Linked DNA regions of Lepisosteus oculatus. The main gene of each other region encodes a partner of the protein of the gene in region 3 in a complex. Links are inferred from orthologs where the notes say so. Each region holds a gene or a part of one and is shown on either strand. Other genes may lie near its edges. The genes, in order: gal, gnao1a and galr1a.

Evidence for each region.
Region 1: the proteins of galr1a (region 3) and gal are in contact, whole or in part, in a cryo-EM structure (PDB 7WQ3), measured with the Homo sapiens proteins. The link is inferred for Lepisosteus oculatus from reciprocal best matches to the Homo sapiens genes GALR1 and GAL. Residues at the interface, in NP_001471.2 of Homo sapiens: Glu32, Gln92, Thr94, Val95, Tyr96, Leu98, Pro99, Thr100, His112, Gln174, Phe177, Arg180, Gln184, Phe186, Cys187, Trp188, Glu189, Gln190, Ile266, His267, Ala270, Phe275, Leu277, Ser281, Phe282, Arg285; in NP_057057.2 of Homo sapiens: Gly33, Trp34, Leu36, Asn37, Ser38, Gly40, Tyr41, Leu42, Leu43, Gly44, Pro45, Val48.
Region 2: the proteins of galr1a (region 3) and gnao1a are in contact, whole or in part, in a cryo-EM structure (PDB 7XJJ), measured with the Homo sapiens proteins. The link is inferred for Lepisosteus oculatus from reciprocal best matches to the Homo sapiens genes GALR1 and GNAO1. Residues at the interface, in NP_001471.2 of Homo sapiens: Thr70, Arg133, Ala136, Ile137, Ser140, Arg141, His226, Leu227, Leu231, Asn233, Ser235, Lys236, Lys237, Ser238, Ala240, Ser241, Lys244, Thr245, Thr248, Leu306, Ser307, Glu308, Asn309; in NP_066268.1 of Homo sapiens: Ser264, Asn316, Glu318, Tyr320, Asp337, Asp341, Ile343, Ile344, Ala345, Asn347, Leu348, Arg349, Gly350, Cys351, Gly352, Leu353, Tyr354.

Annotation. Positions count from the first base shown.
Region 1 is NC_090716.1:11,820,926-11,828,431, reverse strand, and holds the start of gal (galanin peptides), read right to left. Parts: upstream 3,032-7,506; 5' UTR 2,836-3,031; intron 2,468-2,835; coding exon 2,387-2,467; intron 340-2,386; coding exon 285-339; intron 1-284. Other genes in the region: uncharacterized protein, read right to left, coding at 5,614-6,085, 6,635-7,014, 7,149-7,283. UniProt on the Homo sapiens protein: Endocrine hormone of the central and peripheral nervous systems that binds and activates the G protein-coupled receptors GALR1, GALR2, and GALR3.
Region 2 is NC_090715.1:1,057,381-1,064,363, forward strand, and holds the start of gnao1a (guanine nucleotide binding protein (G protein), alpha activating activity polypeptide O, a), read right to left. Parts: upstream 3,035-6,983; 5' UTR 2,467-3,034; coding exon 2,349-2,466; intron 2,167-2,348; coding exon 2,124-2,166; intron 1-2,123. UniProt on the Homo sapiens protein: Guanine nucleotide-binding proteins (G proteins) function as transducers downstream of G protein-coupled receptors (GPCRs) in numerous signaling cascades.
Region 3 is NC_090705.1:18,592,297-18,599,773, forward strand, and holds the start of galr1a (galanin receptor type 1), read right to left. Parts: upstream 3,042-7,477; 5' UTR 2,483-3,041; coding exon 1,811-2,482; intron 1,103-1,810; coding exon 1,037-1,102; intron 1-1,036. UniProt on the Homo sapiens protein: Receptor for the hormone galanin. The activity of this receptor is mediated by G proteins that inhibit adenylate cyclase activity.

The DNA.
Region 1 (7,506 bases), on a different chromosome or scaffold from region 3:
TGCAAATGCAATTTATAAATGTTTTAGACATGGAATATATTAATAATGTATCAAAAGAGAGATATAAATGTAATAATAACCAACCTTTTTTGTAGCTTACTTGCATAACAGTAACTAAACTCTGATTCAAGCCTGACTAACAGCACAAAACCTAATCCCATGGTTATTTGCAGAAAGTAGTTTCTTTCATCTATAATACCAACAGCTGACTTACTATCCATTTATAAAGTGTAATTTTACAACCTCTAACCCAAAGTGTGATCACAAAAATAGCTTTTACTCACGAGGCCCCAGTAAATACCCGGCGCTGTTCAGAGTCCAGCCTCTCTTTTCCTTCGCCTTCAAGAGGGAGAAACAAAAAGTCATTTTTGTCACAAATGGAGATAATGCAGCAAGAGCCAGTTGCTGCGTAGCATCATGAACAGAAACATAAGTGCAATAAAAGAGTAATAAAACATTACAGAGTCTGCAGACAATTTAACAGATGTCGTGTAAATGCGCCTCTTTAGCACAGAATGCCTGGATATTATTTAAGCACAGAAATGAAATCCAGGATCATGATGCAGCAGTGCTATACACCATACCACAATACTGCCATACATGCACATGATTCTACTGACTGTATTAAACATTAAACATTACTTATCTGCTTATCTAACAATATACTAAACACGTTCTTCTAAAAGAGAAATGGACAGATTGGCACATAAATCCGATAACATTGTTTGTGTCAAAATGTTTTCCTTTTGAATAAGAATTAATTCCACTCAACTGTGGAGCAGCCAGAGAAGGACTGGCTGGAAATGACCTTGGTGTCAAGTAAATCTGTACACCAAGGAAATGAATGTGATCAAATGCTCTTTGATATGAGGATTTGCAGCAGCAAGTGGTCTGTGTAAGAAATGTAAATGTGGTTGAGTAAATCAACAGGCGTCTGGTTGTATTAATGGTTATTATCCGCTGAAGTGTAATGCTTTGTGGAAGAAGGTAACCTACAGTTTCTGTCCACCTCTTCAACAAAAAGTTACCAGGCTTTAGCCTGGCTATTCACATGACATAAGAGAACTGAACACAAAAGCTTTTCATTAAACCTGACCATCCTGATTCATCATTCTTATTCTGTGTCAGATTTAAGCATCAGTCTCGAAGACCTGGACTGCTGATCTCATCCTTGTGATGCAAAAGCAGATCGTAGTATTGCACAGGGAAAAGTTCCCCACTTACAGTATATATAATTCAATTTGTTTTCTAAACTTGGCTCTATAATTACTTGCCAAGTCTCTATAAATGCTAGACAAAAAATTAATTGATCTTGTTCATTGCAGATCCCTCAGTGTTAGCTCCTCAGAAAGATGATTTTACCTGCTGGAGGTAATGCATTCATTTTAAAAATTACTTTAATTATGTGACAAATTATTACTGAAATGACATATCTTCAGGAACTCATAATTAAGTTATCCAGATATTTGCCTACTTCTGAGTGCATTGACGGAGCCACTGATATTTAAATATAATCCAGCACATTTCAAGCAAAAGATCGCTGACATATTAACGTGACTATTTCATAACAGTTTCTGTTGTGTCACTCTAGGGAGTAATAATATAGTGGAAAATCAAGATTGGGCCATATACTGCTGCATGTAACAAATTTAATATACGAGTCCTAACACTCTCTATTAAAATTAAAGGCAATAAGCATCTTATTATCTCGTACAGTTGTATTTTGTCCATTGCAAAGCAACTACATAATTGCTGCAGGAAGTTTCAAGACGCAGGTAACATTGCAGTTAATTAGCATTCAAATATTTCTTCTCTGTAAGATATAATTGTTCTAATAAAAGTCTAATGGACTTGCTATTATGAGCTGCATACGCTTCAGAACAATTACAATAACAGGATAATATTTCTCAGGTGTCTAAATTTCCTACAGATTAGTTGCAATCATGGGCAATTATTGCGTTTTAAGAGGATTTTTTAAAAGCTCCCTATTCACATACTACTACAGTATAACTAAAATACTGTATTGAAATATAGTGCCAAAATAAAAATAATGTTTGACTGCTTCATCGAGGTCTAGAACAATGAAGTTGTGAGGTATGGTTTTAAGGGTTTAATGAATTTAAGTTACATTTTTGCAAGACAGTGTAATTTTAGATAATATAGACAAAATGAATATTTCTCTTAGTTTATATCCCTCGGCAAGTCACATAGACAACCAGGATGCAAGGAAGCACGCAGGATGACAAACCAGTATCAGTCAAGTTAATGAAAAGAAAACCTTCTACTTGCACAGGATAAGCTCCTCGGTAAAACGATAAATCGGGAGCACATTTTAGACAGCATACTGCATAAATAATTATAACAAAAGAAAATCTGGAAGAAATACCGAAAGAACCAATCCAAACGTCTCTGACAGGGTGGCACACAGTACAAGTGATACGCAAAGAACACCAAAACACTTCTGCATCTGTAGAGAAACAGGGGTGGAAGAGTTTAAGACTCACACATCAATACGCTTTTAAGCTAAAAACTTTCTCTCTGGCCTGGTGTAGTTTTAAACAGTATTTAATTATTTTACACAGTATCTTCAGCCTGCAGTGCGGCAGCTAGGATTATTCGTTGTAATATAAATGTCACTTTCAGGACTTTGCCCACTTCATCGTGAATTAAGTACAAAAACAAAATAAATATTTGTTCTCAGTAATATTACTGTAGCGAAGTACATTACGATGTTATTTGGCAAAGGCAGATGTTTCTCCAAAATCTCGCTCGATGCTCGCTTGGCTGCGAATTTATTGTTAATTCCCTGAACCAGTACAAGATTTAAAATCTTACCTTGAAAAGTTTGCTACTTGTAAGTGCCTCTTTCCAGAAATCAGGTGAAGAGTTGGTTTGTGGAATTTCAGCAGACAGTTAATAGAGAGAGAAATGCGAGTATTACAATATATTTTCTTCCATTCTGCTCTCGGTGCCGGGAATTTCGGATGGAATGGGTAAGGTCTATCGGTGGCTTTTATTTACCTCTCCCCTACCCCCGCCAAGAAAAATAAACTGATGTCCCCCCAGCTTCTCGGGTTAGACGTCACCCCTAATTTCCTCCCGTTCCCCTCCCATCAGTACATGTGGATAAGAAAAAATTGCTGCAATGCAATTATGTTCTCATGGAAGTGATTTAAGAGCCGAAGATGGATAACAGCCGGATAATTGCATTGGGTTAGCATTTGGCTGTATAGAGCTTACCTTGGGGGTAACGCTTACGCGAGCTACGGTACCTGATTACGTCACGTATTACAATAGAGAAGGAAAAGTAACTCGCGGGATGCATGACACATAACACGTAACTTTCCCCGTGTTCAACGGCAACACAAAAGAGTACGGGAAAACAGCAAGGTCTACATTCACCTTAATTACTCTGGCTAAATTTGGACTTATGGCAGGATGCGTAGGGGTCTTCTGATCGTCACTGGCTTCATTAAAAAGTTTGTGCATCAAATCCCACGTGATGAAACATCGTGACATGGAGACATGAACCGGTTTTTAGAGAATAGTGTATTCTGGAATAACAAGCAGCAATAAAATGCTTGTGAAAAGCCCTTCTCAATGGTGCTGAGCACAGTTACAGACGCTCACAAGATCTAAGAAGTTGATCTGTACAGCAGAACAATTTACTGTCTATAATGCTAACAACTTAATTAATCATTTGATTATTAAATGATCCTGCTCCGATTAAATACATTATTAAACTTTTAAAAGAGAATATAATACGTAATACGAATTAAGTATATGATGAGACTCAAACCTGCCATTTACAAATGCAATAAATTGAGAAAATGATTACCTCGAAGACTATTAAGTCTATCTGGTAGCTGGGGAACTGACATTTTGTTGAACAGAAATTTGGTATTTTTAACGTTTGCTTTGGGCAAAGCTGATGTCCAGTGGGGCTATCCCTAAAGTCCGAGTATGAACTGCCCAGACGACACTATACGACTTGATGAATTTTTAATAAAATGAAACGACATATCTCATACAAAAACATCTTTAAAATGTTTCTATAGCTGTGTCCCAGTTCTGTATTTAACGCTACAGGGACCTAAGGAGAAATGTATATAGAAAAAGATAAATGTCTACAAGTTACCTATGGGTTATTTCCCTGAAGGACGATTGGTTGTTGTCGATTGTAACTTATACAATGCTCGGTAATTATATCATGGGCTGTAAATGACAGCATTAGACTTAATTATGAGTCACATTAATTAGGGATAACTAACACTAGGCTAACTGGTTCTATTCAGAACACCAGAAAAGACACAGAGGATTGAGAGGATCCACTCATTGTGTTCAGCTGGTTCCTTTCTCTGTAGTTCAGCCAGTACCGGTTAAACTGGGGTGAAAAAGCAGCCCAAGGAAAGGAACATTACAGGGTAACTAATCTAATCTAACCTAACCTGCCTGGTTTTGGGAGACTGGATGAAATTGCTGCACCTGGGCTACCAGTGCTGCCCATACTGAAATAGATGGCACTATGAGCCATCTGCACACACTTCCATTGTCCAATGTAAATATGTCCACTGTTCACACAACAAACATTATTTTGTGGACTCATGCATAAAAAGACTAAGTGTATTAAATACGTTATTATTATTGTCAGTCACCTCATTATGTTTATTGAGAAAATGCAAAGGCTCTTTCACCCTTGTTGCGACTGCAGCTGTGCAGTCTTCAGAAGTAATAATTTGCACTGTTTATATCAAGGTAATACTTAGGTGCCTAGACTGTCCTTTTTGGTTTAATGATACAATACTTTCCTCGCCAACCCCTGTGAACTGATACCAGTTACTTGCTTTTGGAACAAAGCTGGGTTCCAGCTAATGTACCATCTACTGCCTCCCAATCTTTAGCCTCAAGATTTTTTTCTTTGTCTGACAAATCCGAGAGGCGTAGCACGATGCTGAAGGGGTTCGTATTGCTGCCCTGCAGCTCTGGGTTCAAACCCTTGTGTTCTATGTGTGTGGAGTTTGTATGCTCTCCCCATGTTTGTGTGGGTTTCCTCCCACTGTCTAAAAACATACTGGTAAATTAGCTTCTTGGAAAATTGACCCTGGTGTTAACGTGTCTATATCTGGACTGGCGTGCCATCCAGGGTGTATCCTGCCTTGTGTCAATTGATTGCTGGGATAGGTTTCATCTCCCCCGCGACCCTGAATTGGATAAAGCAGTTAAATGAATGAATTAAATGGGTGACAGAGAGCGAGACAGGATACCCCAGGCACTGGTTTAGACACTCAATTCCTCTACAAGGCAGCACAAAGATGTTTTACACTCCAGGTGATTAGTACAGTATGTTCAAGATTGACATTTGTAGCAAAAAAGTTTGTGGTGGTGTTCATTTCCCTCACATTATTAAGCTAAAACACATATTATAAGATCTGAGATATTTCATTTCATGCTGGCCTTCATACCTGGGAAAGTGTTCAATGAACATTGTTTTAGAGTAGGCTAAAAGCAGAGTTGAATGCCTATTAAAGCTCTCACCAACCCATTTTTCAGATAAAGGACTCACAAGTATCACAAAAGCCCACTTCAACGCTCTGATTTTTATTCTACATACACTTATGTTGGTTTCATTCCCTTAGGGGTGAAATACTGTGTCGCGAAGCAAATGTAACTCCGGTAACAAATACAGTAGAAAGAAAGCACCAATAAAATACAAGATAGAGTGGTGAAGCATATTATGTGAGGAAATCGTTGTATGTTCTTCTGAGAGCTCTGCGCACTGTGTGATCTTTGTGATAAAGCTGTGCTCTCTGGCGCAGTGTCCTCTTCCTGATCTTTCTCACAATCCACTGGGTTTGGGCTCACTTTCTCTGCCCCCTGCATCCCTGCTGCACGCGCCTGGGCAGAGCCGTCCCTGCTCACCACTGCAGCATTCTGAACATCCTCTGCCCAGCTGCGTGGCAGACTGTCGACTCCATCACAGGGCCCTTTCAGTGCTGCGCCTTGGCTGCCTGCTTTCATGTGGATGTTGAGGCTAATGCGAACACATTCGTGAGACCTGTCAAGCAAGTCACTGGGCGGTGCACTCCTAGAAAGAACTGCAGCACATTAGCATCAGCCAAATCAATGAAAGGTCCATTAACATGATATTTTATACACTTTATCCCATAGTTCCAGGTACAACACACACAGGGCATGGCTACTAAATGACATTTCATATCTTTAAGGTAAGTGTAAGGGAAGTGAAATTACTTAGATCAAACTGACTTCTTCTTTCAGAATTAAAGTTACCAAATAAAAAAACAGTCCTGAAGGTGTACAGAATAAGGAAAACAACAGTGACATTTTTTCAGATAATCCAGAGCCTCTGAAGAAGGCTCCACGGCCGAAATGTTGTTTTCTTTCTTCTTTTTTTCAGCATGGAATAAACCTATTACTTGTTCCTTTGCAGCCTTCGCGTGCTGACGCAGCTACCCACCTGAATTTTTTTCAGATATTCTGGTAGACTACTAATACCGTATTATCATTAAAAACATAAAGATAATTATCTGGATACTATCGAAATATGTTGTTACAGCAACCCAAAAAAACAGCACTGACTCAACAGTGCTGACTACAATGATGATAAAGTAATTACCTGTGGCAATCCTTTACTTTTGTTCCCTGGTTTGTGCACCCTCTATAATCGTCAGTTACACTTGAGTCTAGGGGACTACCATATTTACTGGTTGTACAAGTCTTGTCCTTGAATACAATAACTGTGTGTTCACCACCATGTGCAACCCATAGGGCATCTTCCCCAAAGTCGCGCCCTAAATGTGCTTCATTCTTGTGCGCGCAGGGTTCGTCTCCCGACAGAGGCGCGGCCAAAGCCCGAATTCGGTGGTCCCCAGCGATCCTGACTCGCCGTCCTCTTAAGTGCGCCAAGTAATTGGACAAATGGTCAACGTCATCATCGATCATTTCGTTAACTCCCCCTATATCCACGCTGACAGTGGACAGCACTTTGCTGAGCTCCTGAAAACACACAGACACTTTTATGAGTAAACGAAGCTTCTAGTAATTTTAACATGTGTTTCGCTAGTACCTGGGTGCAAAAGGTTTGGTGCGCCGTCTCATCAGTTATAAAATCTGGCAAGGTTGCAGCTTACCCTTAATTTTTTTGCAACCCCAAACCGGTTTTGCCTTGTGCGATCGACGCAACTACTTCGACTCTCCGAGACTTCCCCAGACTGCTGTGCTACTCTAGTCTCACCGCTTGGTGCCATCTCCCTGTAAGAACGCATGGCATTTGGAAAGATGTTAAAAACCTTGACAATCTGGCTGCAAGGTCAAAGTTGAAAGGTTGTCTTGCAGGAACAGAAGTGACAAATGCTGGACATATGCGTCGCACTGGCTGTACGCGGATGATGCACTTGCTTGTGCAATAATACCCCCCCCAAAACATGCATTTTACGCACAAACGTCATCCACAAAACGTGGTAAGAGTAGAGCAGTCCCGTCTCCATC
Region 2 (6,983 bases), on a different chromosome or scaffold from region 3:
AAGGTGGTGGAAGTACAGTTCCCCCTCAGTGGATGGGTCCACTGACCATAGCCCAACTGACTGTCAGGACTCGCTCAGTTCCTGACTCTGACCAGATTCTTTGATGTTAACACACCCTTATCCCCAGCAATACAGAAACTGCTTCAACACCCCTTATCCCTTTCAGTTGGGTTTTTTTTTTGCTCCCACACAAAAACAATCACAATCCATTGATTTTAGCCAAACAGATGTCGGGGGGAGATCAATTCTCTAGAATTTGGACAACGACGGTTTAATGCCGCTTTCTATGCAAATGTTGTCTTTAACTGTCGCTCCCATTCATCTACAAACACAAGGCAGGAGTTTTAAAAGCAGATCTGCCGAGGCTGGTTGTGAATTAAATTTAATTGTCACAAGTTGTCATTTCATAAATGACGGGCGAACAGGTTTGTTTTTGTTACATACAGTTAACAGTGTTGGTACGTTATTGCACTGGTAATATCAAGACCTCGCCTGAAAGCCTACCTTTCCCTGTCTTAATAAAGCCTGGAGACTGCTTGAGCACTTTCGCTACAACCCAACACTGCCTGCTATGGGATCTTGTTTTTTATTTCGCTTTAACAATCCCGATCCACACTCCACTGCCGTTCTCCGGCGAAGCAGAGAATACTCTACGGACTTTTCCTCTTTCCCTCTCAACCTCGGGCTCTCTGAACACGCCCGAACGCCTCCGAATGCAGCAGAAATCCGCTCCGAATCCCCCCTCCTTTCCAAGCGCTCCTTCTCGGTAGGTGAACCCATACCCGACAGCACCCGAGTGTTTCCGAATTCCAACGATTGAGCGAACAGGCGCTGCTGGGCGCTGTCCACCACCTCAACCGCCTGAAATCCTCTGATCTTCCCCTCACAAACGCAGAAGGGGCCCTGCTGCCATTGCAATACGGGCTTATTTTTACAATTGGCTTTACTACCGACAGGTACATACCTGCAGACTGAGCCACCGATTTACAAGGAACAAATGTGAATGTCACAAAAGGGGAAGAGGGGAACTCAACCCGTCTCGGGCAAAGGCACTGGGGCGGTTTTCAGCCGAGTACCCGCAGGCTCAGTACACAGTACCGTTATTTCCAAAATCCCACTTTGTTTCTAATCAGGCGCCATACATACGGTTCCCTTCAGACACAACAGATGTATGTGCTTTATTATACATCCACGTATTATTATTATTATTATTATTATTATTATTATTATTATTATTATTATTAGCGCGAACTACACTAAAAATGGGCTAATCTAGCCGAGCTGTCCTGCTGGTCGCAACATGAGACACGAAGAAGAGAAATTAGAAGGCAGGCAGGAGCACTCGGTTGTCTTGGGCTGGGTGAGATTAAAAAATGGCCGTATCTGATGACAGGTTCGGGTGCTGTTCTTCCACACACGCGAGTTCACACTCTCGTCTGCGCGCAGTATCTGTGTGCTTGTGTGCGATCCACACACACAATACACTCCAATTTGCTTTTTACAATGGAAGCGCTGCCACCACCCCCGTGGCCGTTTTAATAGCTGGCGTGGGGGGGAAATCCTGAAATCTCCACTAAACGGGGCTTTAAATGGCAGATCTCTGCCCCAGTTAAATCCTTATTATAGGCAGATTTTTTAAATGAATGTGAGGGAGCGAACTCTCCAAGCCCGTGTCAGGAGATCAGAAACTGGTGGGGGATGAGCGCTCAAACCGAGGCATTAAGCTTAAGAGAGAAGAGGTGCGCTCCTAATGGCTCTCCGGCGGGCTACAACCGCTCGCCTCCCGCTCCACACGCACGGCGATCACACGCGAAACCGAGGGTTTTCTCTGCTTTTTCAGCACCATTACCGTGAACAGCACACGCATTCGTTCACGGCCAAGCCTCACACATTGCCAATTTGTCTCCGAAGCCTGCGTTGCTAGGTGCGCTCGATCGGTGCTAAAACGATCATAATTCCTTGAAAAATATGGCGGACCTAAGTATTAGCCAACCGGACTAGGGTGAGAATGGACAGGGAGGGGAGGGGAGTCGGGGGGTGGGGGGCGATTGGTGGGGCGAAGAGAGGAAAAAAAATCACAGCCCGTGTTAAAGGCGAAAAGACATGAACACCAGCCCACTTACTTCATCTGCTTCACGATGGTGCTTTTGCCTGATTCCCCTGCCCCTGTTGGGATAAAAACACAGAATAAAAAGGGCCGTCAGTGTTGTGTTGTAAGGAGATAAACGAGATTAGAGCCAGACGAGCAGCCGCGCTAACGCCGGGACTGCTCTCTCTCGCCTGCAGGGTCTGAATGGGCGACAGCCACAGTGGCCACAGCCGGGCTTGTCAGCGTAGCACAGCCTTACCTAGCAGGAGTAATTTCACATCTTTTGCGGCAGTGATTCCGTCTTCTTTCAGGTTTTTCTCGATGGCTTTGCTCCTCTCCAAAGCGGCTCTTTCCTCGGCGCTCAGAGTACATCCCATGGTTAGGAAATCTCGGCTCTCTTTTTCTTTCCAAAAAGACGCAAGGTATCAAAGCAAGCAATCCTCCTTTTTTCTGTTTCTTCCCTGTACCCTCTCTTTCTCGCTCGCTCACTCGCTCGCTCTCTCTCTCGCTCGCTCGCTCGCTCTCCCTCCGTCTCTCGGCGACTAACGCATTAAAAACCGGATCGACTACAGTTGGCACGGGTCTGAACAAGGCTGGGCTCACTCTCTCTCTCTCGGGGGTCCGTCTGCTCGGTGCTCGGGCTGGGGGTCTCTAATGGGCGGCGGCGATGGCTGCGAGCGATCGCATCGTTCAGCTGTTCACAATGGAGAGGCAGGAGGGAGAGTGCGCCAGACTCAGTGCTCCCTGACAATTTCACTGACGTCAGAAACCGAGCGAGCATGCTCCGGCGAGCATCCTGATAGTACCGTTAACCGTCTCCATCCAGAGGGAAGGACCTCTCCCCTCCCTTTTGTCGCTGCTTCTCCTGTTTAAGGACGAGCTTTGAGGAGCGGGATCGCCCCCGAGTGACCCGCCTGTGCGAGTAGCCGTTGTCACTGTCGTTCTCTGAAAACGTCCCGAGTGTGCGGGGTGCAGACTGGAGCTTTGTGCTCTATTGTGTCCGGGAAGGTGTCTGTGCAGGCCGGGCGTATTCGCACCGAGGTGTGGTCTAGCGAAGCTCTCTGGAGGACTTCGATTATTGACACGGGATATTTAAAAGAGAGCCCCCTTCTGTAGAGCGTACCATGACGACTATTGAAATCATTTCTTTATTTTGTTTTATTTCGAGTTGTTTAGTCATGGGAGAATCGCAAAACCGCTTTGAGGCTTAGAAGAATTGTCAATTATAACTCCAGCTAATCTATTGCAGAGAGATCCCTTACTCTCGGCTGCGTTATTGTCGTGCTGTGCAGTCGTGCAAAGAGTAAACTGAAATTTACAAAAAAGTTGAGAAAGGGTGTTGCGCCCCCGAGTCCTGATCTACACGTAGGTCCATCGGTAATACCTTTCTAGAAACTCAGCCTTGTGGGAGTTTGCTCCCTCACTAAATCAAGTTTATTTTACAGAAATGGTCCGTAAAATTCTGCAGAAGTCTGTTACTAGTGAAATATAACTTGTTATCAAGGGATACGCGCACCTTTCGTCCAGTCATAAGAAAATGACTGTACTGTGTGGCATCACGTGAGTTTTGAAAGCTCAAAGCTCATCCGATCGCTCTGCTCGAGGACAGAAAGCGCACTTTGACCTCTCCTGGCTGCGACAACGAACACGCGCACTGGAGCTACAGGATTACTGCGGCTCCGGGATCAAGTGCTAGGCCTTAAATACAAAAGCGTTTGTTTCTGAATGAGAGGAGGTGGCACTTTTTTAAGACAGGCAATAAAATGTGACTATTCGTGTTGTAAATCTATGGTACGTGCAGTCTTGCCTACATACACGAACACAACTGATGTAGAGCACCTTTGCATGCTGGTTAGAGCTCTGGACTGACTCCTTCTACAAGTGCTATTCGGTTCAGTAGAAACATTTTCCCAGAGAAAGTGATGGTTGTGCGCGCGAAGGAAGTGGCGTTAGTTAGCTTCGCCATCTTAACAGCCACCATTTACAGAAATGCAGGAAGACCTGCTTTGTTTTTCTCCGTTTCCAAAGCTCCCAAATCGAATCCCATTACATGGTCATGACACACGAGACTAGTCCCCAACCACAACAAATCCACAGACAAAAACTAATCAATATGTTTCTAAAACATGATCCGTTGTGTCCCAGAAACCTGGTGCTCCTCTCCTCATGCCCTGAAGACGACAGATTGATTAACTTAACACCTGTGGGAGAGTCTGCTATTGCTGACAGGACTTCTAGATACTATGCGTGCTTACTGCTCTGCATCAGAAGCACTACCTACAATATGTAAGACCAAAATGAACACAGCATGAGCTTAATTGAGTTTGATTTATTTTATAATTGCCTGTTAATGAAAACAGTCCCCACACAACTCTGAAAGCCATTATCTGTCTTGTCAAAGTTTGAAGTGAAACAAGAACTCTACTTCTGATTCATAAAAGTGATATTGTAATAAACAGCACAAGGAATTTTCCTTTTAACTGCTCAAAAATATGCTGTTGGGAGATGTTTTGTGCTGCAGAATCTGCTCTGTAATACATGATCTTTCCTAAGCAGATTTGTTCAGTATGCATTACCAGACATATCAAAATCCAGGGAGCCCTTGTCTGTCCAGGCTGCGGGGGAAAACTGTATCCGTTTCTTCATTCATCTGGAGCAGTTTAATGACCTCCTATTGCTGGGAGTCTTTCTTTTTCAGGATGATACCAGATCGACACTGAAATGTTTTCTCCTTCGACCTGATTGCCTCCTGTGTGTCTGAGCTGCCGGATTTAAACTGAGAGAATTCTGTAGTCTATAGATCAGGGTGTTCAGGCTTTGTACATTTAAAATAGCATCTCTATAGTATTAGGACATGAAGCTGCAAGCACTGTAAATTGCATGAAAGTCACAGCTCTTTCTCTAATAGTAACTTAAAAGTGCACCTAAAAACTGTTGAAAACTGTGTCCCAAGCCATGAATGTCTGTGCAGTGGTTACCTGTGTAGTTTGAAGCTGTGTCATCATTCAGAACCCAGTAGATTCCACATGTGATCTGTGTACTGTTGGTCTGTACAAGAGAGAGGAGACCCAGGGAGTTATTAGCCCCAGTGTTACTTCTGTCTGCCCGAGTGTGTGATTGGTTAATTGATTAATTGCACAATCATGAAAAAAAACCATTGTAATGCACATGCCAGTAGTAAGCCTGGTTTCAGACTCCTCCCTAGCTTTCCCAGAGGGCACGAATCCTGCCAGCTGGCCATCTTTCTTCCTCCTGCCCCTCCCAGGCTCTCACACGCGATCTGACCCCCTCGCAGGGCGGCCAGCCTGCCTGGGACCCGAGTGCCCTCGATTTCCTGTGGCCAACCAGTATGAAGCTCTCTAACCTTCACAGCAAGCAGCTAGCATTTGTTTAAACAAGCTTTGTCTACTTCTCTTTCTTATTATTATCATTGTTATTGTCACCATCATCGGTGTTGGAGAAGTAAGTTTGCTCATGTAGCACCTTGCAGTCACAAGGTGCCTGGGTAAGGTAATCATTTAATTTCTGGATATCACATATATCTGCATCTGGCATTTTTGTATAAGCTTGGGCTTACCTACAAGCCCAAGTGAAAAGATTCAGGATATCAGACTACGTGTGATCAAGACGTTAAGGAAGCAGAAGGAAGTGATGCCCTGTGCCCAGGCCTCACTCTTGTCATTGCACCACACTCCGAGAAGTTCCCCTGGCATCCCAGAGCAGGCTGGGTAATGGCACTGTGGTAGGCCAAGCAGAGACCCGTAATGAACCATATGGGTAGGGCTCTCTTAATGACAGCTGCCAAGCCTATACCACAGTGGCATGTGAAAATAAATGAAAACGCATGAAAAAATCAGAGAAAGGCCATTTATTTTTACTTTCAAGGAATGGTAGAATAAATTGAAAACAGGATGGACTTGATGTTTAAAGAGTCTGCAGTTAACAAGAAGCAAATAATGCACTGTTGTTATATCTAACAATACCTTAAAAATACCACTATACCTACTATTTCTAATAAAACTGATTAAACCTGTTCTTTGCACTTGAGCCACGTCTTGTTTTTAGTGGTAAAAGCTAGTCTCCAAGGCTGCCTGGTGCTTGGAGTATATTCAAGGGATGTCAGTGATGAGCAGGACAGACAGATTAGTGTAGCTCTGGTCACCAACAGCACAGGATCCCTCAGCTGCAACACCTTTCAGCTGTCTGGGGTTTCCATAGCCCATCTAAAGGCAAAGGATATAAAACCCCACCAGAGCTCTCAGCTACACAGCTAGTCTAATTATATCATTGGCTACAACACTGTAACACTTCGGCCCAGATCATTTGAGGTGATCTACACTTTAGTTAAGACTAACTTTAAAAGAATGAACGTGTTGAGTGATCAGCTGTAAATTACCATAAGAAAAACCTTAAGTAAAAAAAAAAAGAGTCTAAGACTCACTGCGTTCAAGAGTCCAGGCTTTGTAATCCAAAAAAAGCTAAAATTTAATTTGGTGAATTAAACTGATTTGCACGGCTTTCACTAAAGAAAACAATACCTGATATTAATGTGGTTCACAGAAAGGCATCACTAAATCCTAAATCCTCCTCATTCTCCGGGAAACAAGTCCCCGCCATTCATGAAAAAACAGTTTCCTTAGTAAGTCACCTAAATATAAATTGCCACGTTTGCAAATAAACTGCATTAATGCAGTTTTTGTCTGTGGACATCTCACAGGGTTGCCACCTAAGAAGTCTCTGCAGTAAAACCGAGCTAGACTGACCAATCCAAGAGCTCTCTGGGATAGCTCTGTGCAGAAATGGGTCAACATTGAGACGAGGAATTCTCACACTTCACTGGTTTTCTGAAATTTCCTTATGTGTGTATATACTGTACTATATGTGTCTATATAGT
Region 3 (7,477 bases):
ATACTGCATACAGTAAGTAGAATGCTCTAATTTAACAAGTACTTTCTTATAAAGTTACATTTTATTTTAAATAAAAATTATTTTATTTTAATTTTATTTTAACAAAGTAACTGGCATTTTTTGTTTTTATAAACATCAGAAGGCCTCTTCCACTTCAGCAGCATTTCATTATGGGGGAGGAACATTAAAAATCTTCTATACTTTGGGATACAATCATTTTATTAGATAAAACTTTATTTGAAGCATTCCTTATAATCACTATTATTAATTAGATTTCATACTGTATAATACAGACAAAATGTTTTTGTTTATGTTTTTTTAATGGCAAAGGTGGATTCAAGCCCCTAATGCTTTTTATCCACAACAATCAAATCTGTTACCTAGGCAACTAATTGAAGCTTGTCTGCTTTAAGCCCAAGCCTACCTGTATCATTGTATGTATTTAGACATGTTTATTTGTGCACTATTTTTTCTCTACAGCGAAATCAAAACTAGGGTTAATTAGTGCAATGAACCTTCTCTGATAAGAACTTAATTAAATAAAGAAAAGGATGAGTAATCTGAAACCAATAAACCATAATGTCAACACTAAAGACAACTGCTTCAGGTTGGCACAGAGTAAAACTAACTTAAATCTCCAAAGAAAAATGAAGCTGTAAGAAAAACAATAAACGAGAGTCAATTTTGTAAAATCACCAAAGAGTGATGCAATGACTAAAATCCAAGGTGTGATTCAAAAGCATATAAATGGGTAAAAGGCATGGAGGAGATCCACAAAATAAATCGAGTCACTTTCTTTGTCAGTGTGTCTATTTAAGACTCACTTTATCAACTTTAGTCTATTTCATCTTATATTACAGATGCATGGACCATTTAAACTATAACTGCATGTAGTAAGAGTGCAATGGTTTCCATTACTTACTGTTAGGAAATAAAGCTGACAAATGAACTGCCTTTTAAAATTGCCATCCATTACTGGGTCATTCAAATCTTGCTCATATTTTGTACACATTATGCGCAAAAGCAGAACGCTTACCTTCTTCTTGGACGCCTCCGACTTTTTGGACATGTTTCTTAGTTTTTTGTGCAGGTGATTCAAAACCTGCAAAAACATTTTAATATATTATTAAAAAGACAACATGACATAAGAAAGAAGACAGAATAATGGTAACGGTGAAGAATTAAAACTTCTATTAATTAACGTTTTCCTACTCTTTTCTGTTTTGGGTTGGTTTATCTTACATCTGCATTCATTAGAGGTTTTTACTGTAAGTCCGCGATATTTACAGATATTTTATGACGGCAAAGTTGCAGGCTACTGTATTCAGTACAGTATTGCGTATTAGATTTCACACAAATTCGTACTTACTAAAGAATATAATACGTTCAAAATTTTGACTGGATAACAAAATAATGAAAAAAAGTTTAATATTAAAGCATACTCGAATAGAATACCTAGCTTATTTCACAAAACGAAGGGAGGTGAGATCACCTCCTCTTATCGGGAGTTTAGTTTTTATTAATGTTTTTGTCAACTACTGTATATTATATTACATACAGTATATGGTAGGTTCTAAGGTGAATGAATTGCCTAAAATGGATTTAAATTCGTTGCATAACTTACAGATATGTCATCTCAAATGACGAGATATCTGTAAGGTGACAAATGATCATCTCAAATGATAACTTCAGAAATGGAAAAATGAACTGTATCTGTAATCATCAACTAAAGAAGCTAAAGATGGACAGGCGTTAAATAATGAGGAGCGCCCTACGTGAAGTACAGATCAAAGAAATCCTTTGGACCCACCTTTGCGTAACAGAAGGAAATTAAGAGAAGAGGCAGTAGATACCCAAAAACAAAGGTGCACACCACGTAAATCTTCTTTTGCTTGTGGTCCGGCCACACTTCCCAACAAAACGTACTGTTCCCCCCTCTTTCAACGATGTTCTGGTGGTGGGCTACCGGCGCGGCCATGGCGAGAGACAGGATCCAAATCGCAATCACCCCTATCAGAGCGTGCCTTGCCACTCGAATGGAGGAGGACTTTCTGGAGTGCACGATGGCAATGTAGCGGTCCACAGACATGGCAGAGAGGGTAAAGATGCTGACGAGCATGGAAACGGTAAAGAAGTAGTGAATGAACTTGCAGATGAAAGCTCCCAAGACCCATGTTGGTAACATGTAGACTGTGGACTGGAAAGGGATACAAAACAGGAGATAGGAGAGGTCGGCTATACTGAGGTTTAGGATGAAGATGTTAGTGGTGCTGCGAGGTTTGCCCGGCTTGCTGCGAGCCAGCACCGTTATCACCATAGAGTTGCCCAGCACTCCCAGTGTAAAAATGAGTCCGAAGATCAGAAGCGTAATGAAGTTGTCAATGCCGATACCGAACAAAAGTTTCGTTGGAGCCTCCCGAGCGTCAGTTCTGTTGAAAAAGCTCGCTCTTTCACTTTGGTTATGAAAAACAGCCGCGTCCATCACTTCAGGAAAAAAAAAGCTTTCGCTTTTGAAACGTGAACAAATGGACGGAACCTAAAATATCTGAATTTTAAAATACATTCATGTTTGAGAAGTTTTATAAGTGTGTTTTGTAACCGAAGAACGGAATGGAATGAGTCGACAAATCTACAAGTAAAGTCCGCTATTAAGGTAATTAAATTATGCAGTTTTTCCAGCTTAATTTGAAACAGTAAAGGTACATTTTCATTAGCTGCATCGTGGTCTTTAGTTTTAGACTGTACTATTGGAAGCGTTAACGCATTTAGTGCGTACTCCTCCGGAATTTACAATAAACCAAATGTTTAAAGTTTCAATGCGCAAATATTTGCATCCCCTTAGGCGCAAAATTTGTACATTCAGCATATCGGTGTTTTGTCTTTGTTCTCATTAGCTTTTTGATTCTTCTCGTGGTTTTGTTCGGCTCCGCTGTATTGAATCTTGCTCAACCAGATGTTTCCCTTTCACCTGATGCTTGTATTCCCGTTGCCGGTTCTAATGAGAGCCTCTCTCCTGCCTGTGCTCACTGAAAATGCTGTGAGGAGTGGGCTGCGTCGAGACGTCACCAACCAGTCCCCACGGCGCTAGGTCTACCAATACTGTATGTGCATGATGCACTTTATCCTTCAGATGGAGATGCACCTATGCCATTTTTATTATTTTAAGGCAAAAACCGGCTTGAGGTTGTCATTCAAAGAGACTTAGTTACCTTAAAACAATCAAACCAATTGATTCCAAGGACATTTGCGAAACAAGTTTACAAGCTTTACAACCATCATACAGTATAAAAGTTCTTTAAATATGTTTAAATCATATCAGTCTCCATTGCGCTGGAAAGCTGTTAGTATTTCACCGAGACTATTATATAATTATTATGCTGTATGCTTTTAATTGCTTAATCAATTAAATATTCTTGGAGTCTCCTTAGAAAAAAATAGTATTCGTCGTAATACTGCGAAAATAGGCTGTAAATGCATGGGTCTTAATGTAATAAAGTTGTTTTGTGAATACAAAGCTCAGAGATGTTATACCCTAGCAAAGCCTATTGCGTAAGTCATTACATTGCCGTACTTTTTTGTTAAAAGAATCTTTGAATTTAAAACTAATCCTTTAAACACGTTAACCTTTTTTATTTTATAATACCTCAGATATCTTCCATTATTAAACGAGTTCTTCTTTATTTTTATTAAAGGTCCCTTTTTACTTCAAATACATTCATTCTTGGAACTACAAAGAAGTTATGTTTTTTCTTTAAAATCATATCTTCGTCTGTTTTGTGCATAACTTGGACATTTTACTATTAAAATCGATGCATGCTTTAATGGTAATAATTATGAGGCTATACAGATGATTAACAATGTTTTACTGTATGTCTTTGTCATTGCCTAATATCAGTAAACTGTACTGTACATACGGTCAACCAGAAACTCTTTATTCACATGTGTGAATATAGTATATTTAAAAACAGAGAAGCCAGACAAAAGTGAGCAACTACGAAGACGGTATATCCCTATATAAATATCTATGACAGTAAATGTGAAGTGGACGTTGTAATAACATTAACAAGAAACCAAATTTTGGATTTAGAAGTGGCATCGGACATGAGTACGCAGTATGAGTTCTGTGTTCCGCACCTGGATCCGACAGAATCCTGCACGATCTATTACCGTAAACCAACGCTTATTCAAAGTTGTATATACTGGCCGACTACGTAAAGCATGGAGCAATTAAAACTGGTACTCAGGAATTAGACCGATTATTTGCTAAATTAAACACTTACAACCCTTTTCCTAAAGTATTAAACTGTTAACACATTACTGAGACATCGACAGTACACTGTACTCTGCTGGATTGTTGTCCTGCTTGAGGTCAACTGCGCGCAAGAGTTGCACATACTGTATTCGGAGTTTTAACAGTATCTCTGACGATGGACCACAGCTGCTTCTTTTAGCGATGTTGCAGGTCATGGAGTGCTTAAGGCAAAGACATTTGCATATTTGAGCATCATTCAGAATTGAACACAGTAATATGAATAAAAACATCAATTTGTAATTTTTTAAAAACATTTTGGTAATTTAGGTTAACGAGAACATTGTGATTTAATCTGCTCCAAGAGTTAAAGCAGTCACTACTTGATTTACACTGTGAAATATGTTCATGAAACCATAATACCAGCACCACGTGTTCATTCCCGTGGCATTTTTTGTTATTGTTAGTCACAGTTTTCAAATAATTCACATGTGTGGCGGATTGAATACAGAAATGTTAGCATGCTACACTATACTTTGTATCCCAGAGCAGCCATTTCCTTGCCATTATATGTCCAGTTCATCGTCATTCCATTATATTTGATTCTTGTTTTGGCTGTCTTTTGTTCTGGCACTGTTTAAAGCCCTTCTCTTATATGCCAGCCCGTCAAGGCTGAAGCAGGATGCGGGCAGAGTGGAGTAGGAGCATGATGAGTAATGTGTCAGAGTGTGACAGGCAGTCAGCTGGAATAAGAAAGCAGCTAGCAGAAACAGCAGTATTGTGTCACGTATGCCAGAGCCTAGCAGGAGGAGAAAATCACTTTAATGTGACAATTAATTAAAATGACGACAGAGAAAATATGCAGCAAGCAAAGAAACACACACTTCCTGGAGATGAAGTGCATAAGATAATTTGGGAGTTTAATGTTTTTGGGTCTAATCCAAAATTTAAGATATACAAGACCCCAGGCAATCAATGGGCACAAGGCAGGATACAGTACACCCTGGATGGGACACCACAGACACAAACACAGACACATACTCAGACCAGGGCCTATTTTCGCAGAAGCCAATTGAACTATCAGTATGTATTCGGACTCTGAGGAAACCCACGTGAACACGGGAAGAACATACACACTCCATGCAGATAGCACTCCAGGTCCAAGGCTGCAGCACTGCAGCACAGCAGTGCTAACCTCTGCACAACTATGCCTCCCAATGACTTTTGTTAAAGTAACTTTTGTGTTACTTACAGTATGAAATGTTACCAGATGTTAAAGTAACTTATGTGTTATTTACCAAATGTTATGAAATGTTTTTGTACTCATGGCCACTCAGAATTATGTACTGAAGTACAGATTGCTATACTGTATGTACTGTATATCTATTATATTACATAATTTGCAGAAAACCTATGGTATTTATTTACCAGCAATTCTGATATATCTGTTATCTCAAAATAACAATATGTAAAACCTGTGAAACACATAATTGTAATTCTTGCTGATCCTAGACTTTATTACTAACCACCACTCGTGGCTGTGACTCACAATTAGTTGAGGGCTGTTAAAGATCAGTGGGCATAATCAGAGGACTAGAATCTCTTAAACAGAAAGCAAATGAAGGCTTGAGAATATGGTTTTACAACTACAAGATTTTAGATTTTATTATAGTGGCAAATATAAGAATGTTTGATGCTGTAGGATATGGTTCTGTGGCTGAAACGTAGTATTTTTATGATCAATTTATGTTAAAAATGAGAACAAAAAACAGGCTTTTGATAAAAGAGGTGCAGTACATTGTGGCTTAATATGTGATTTACAGTACATCACAAACATTAAATACTATGTTTATCAGTATATGGTACTAAAGTCTATTTTAATGCAAACATCCTTCCACATTAGGTTTGCTAAATGCTTTTTTTTAAATAAACAATAAAATAAAATATTAATATGAATGTGGCTTTTTGTGTATTTCCTAGGATACATACAGTATGATAGCAGAAAGCAACAACTTGATTCACTGACCTTACTCTTTTTAAAACTCCATGCTAACGTATGTAAGTGCATGATACACATGTAAGTCAAGTACTAGAATGTACAGTCATTAACACTGAATTATAGACAAGCACTGATTCCTCACCACACTAACAGTCAACTACGCACTTAGTTGCTAAACACAAAACTTGCCGTCACTTCTGACATTTCATAATGTCTAATCTATAAAAAAACAACCATGGCAACTCATTTACTATAAAAAAGTGACTTGAAGTCATTCTTATGATAATGTCAGGCAACAGACTGGTGAGTGAGGGTGAGAGGAATGGAGTGGACCTTTTGACTAAACATTTCCAATTGCTGTGCAACAATACGTTTGTGGCAGCGACACCAGACAGAAATTTGGTCAATATGTCAAACAGTCAGTGGTGCTAGAAGTGTCACAGGTAAGCAGAAGGGCAGCAATCAGAAATGCACTCACAGCTGAAGACGATCCCTGTCCAAAAACACTGAGCACCAAAGGACAATCCTGTCCAGGGAAGCAGATGTATTGGCACAAGATTAATATAAACCAGGGTCAAGTGCAGTAGTTGAAATATAGGTTTTGTAAGGCAGCATGATAAATGTGTACCTGTGGCAGCTGCAGTACTTCAGAAGCTATAGAAACATGAAATGATGGCAACTTTGCTGAAACAGTTTGCCATTTTGACAACATTATTCAATATTTTACTTACAGAGGGGCAGCTAATCAGCATAATGAGAAATTTACTTCTAAAATGCTTTAAGTAATTATGTGTATTTATACAGAGATTTCCAGCCTCTCTCTCTTTCCTAGTGTTAATCCCGCATCAGCAGGGTCCGCTTGTCGGCACACCAGTCTCCATTTAGTGGTTTGAACCAAATCTTTGAGGTGACTTTGCCATTAACTGCGACCGAGAAATACTCCAACCTGCGCCTCGTTCCGCCTGCTGTCGGAGTGGGAGAGGGGGCAGGAGAACAAAGTAATGTAGACAATTCATAGAAGGGGATTATTAGGAGGCAAGGGAAATTTGGCCAGGAAGCTGGGGTTAGACCCTTACTCTTTACGAGAAACACCCTGGGATTTTTAATGACCACAGAGAGTCAGGACCTCGGTTTTAAGTCTCATCCGAAGGACGGCGCTTATTTACAGTATAGTGTCACAGAGATTTCTAGCCTAAAGGATCATAAATAGCTAACTGATCCAATCCAGC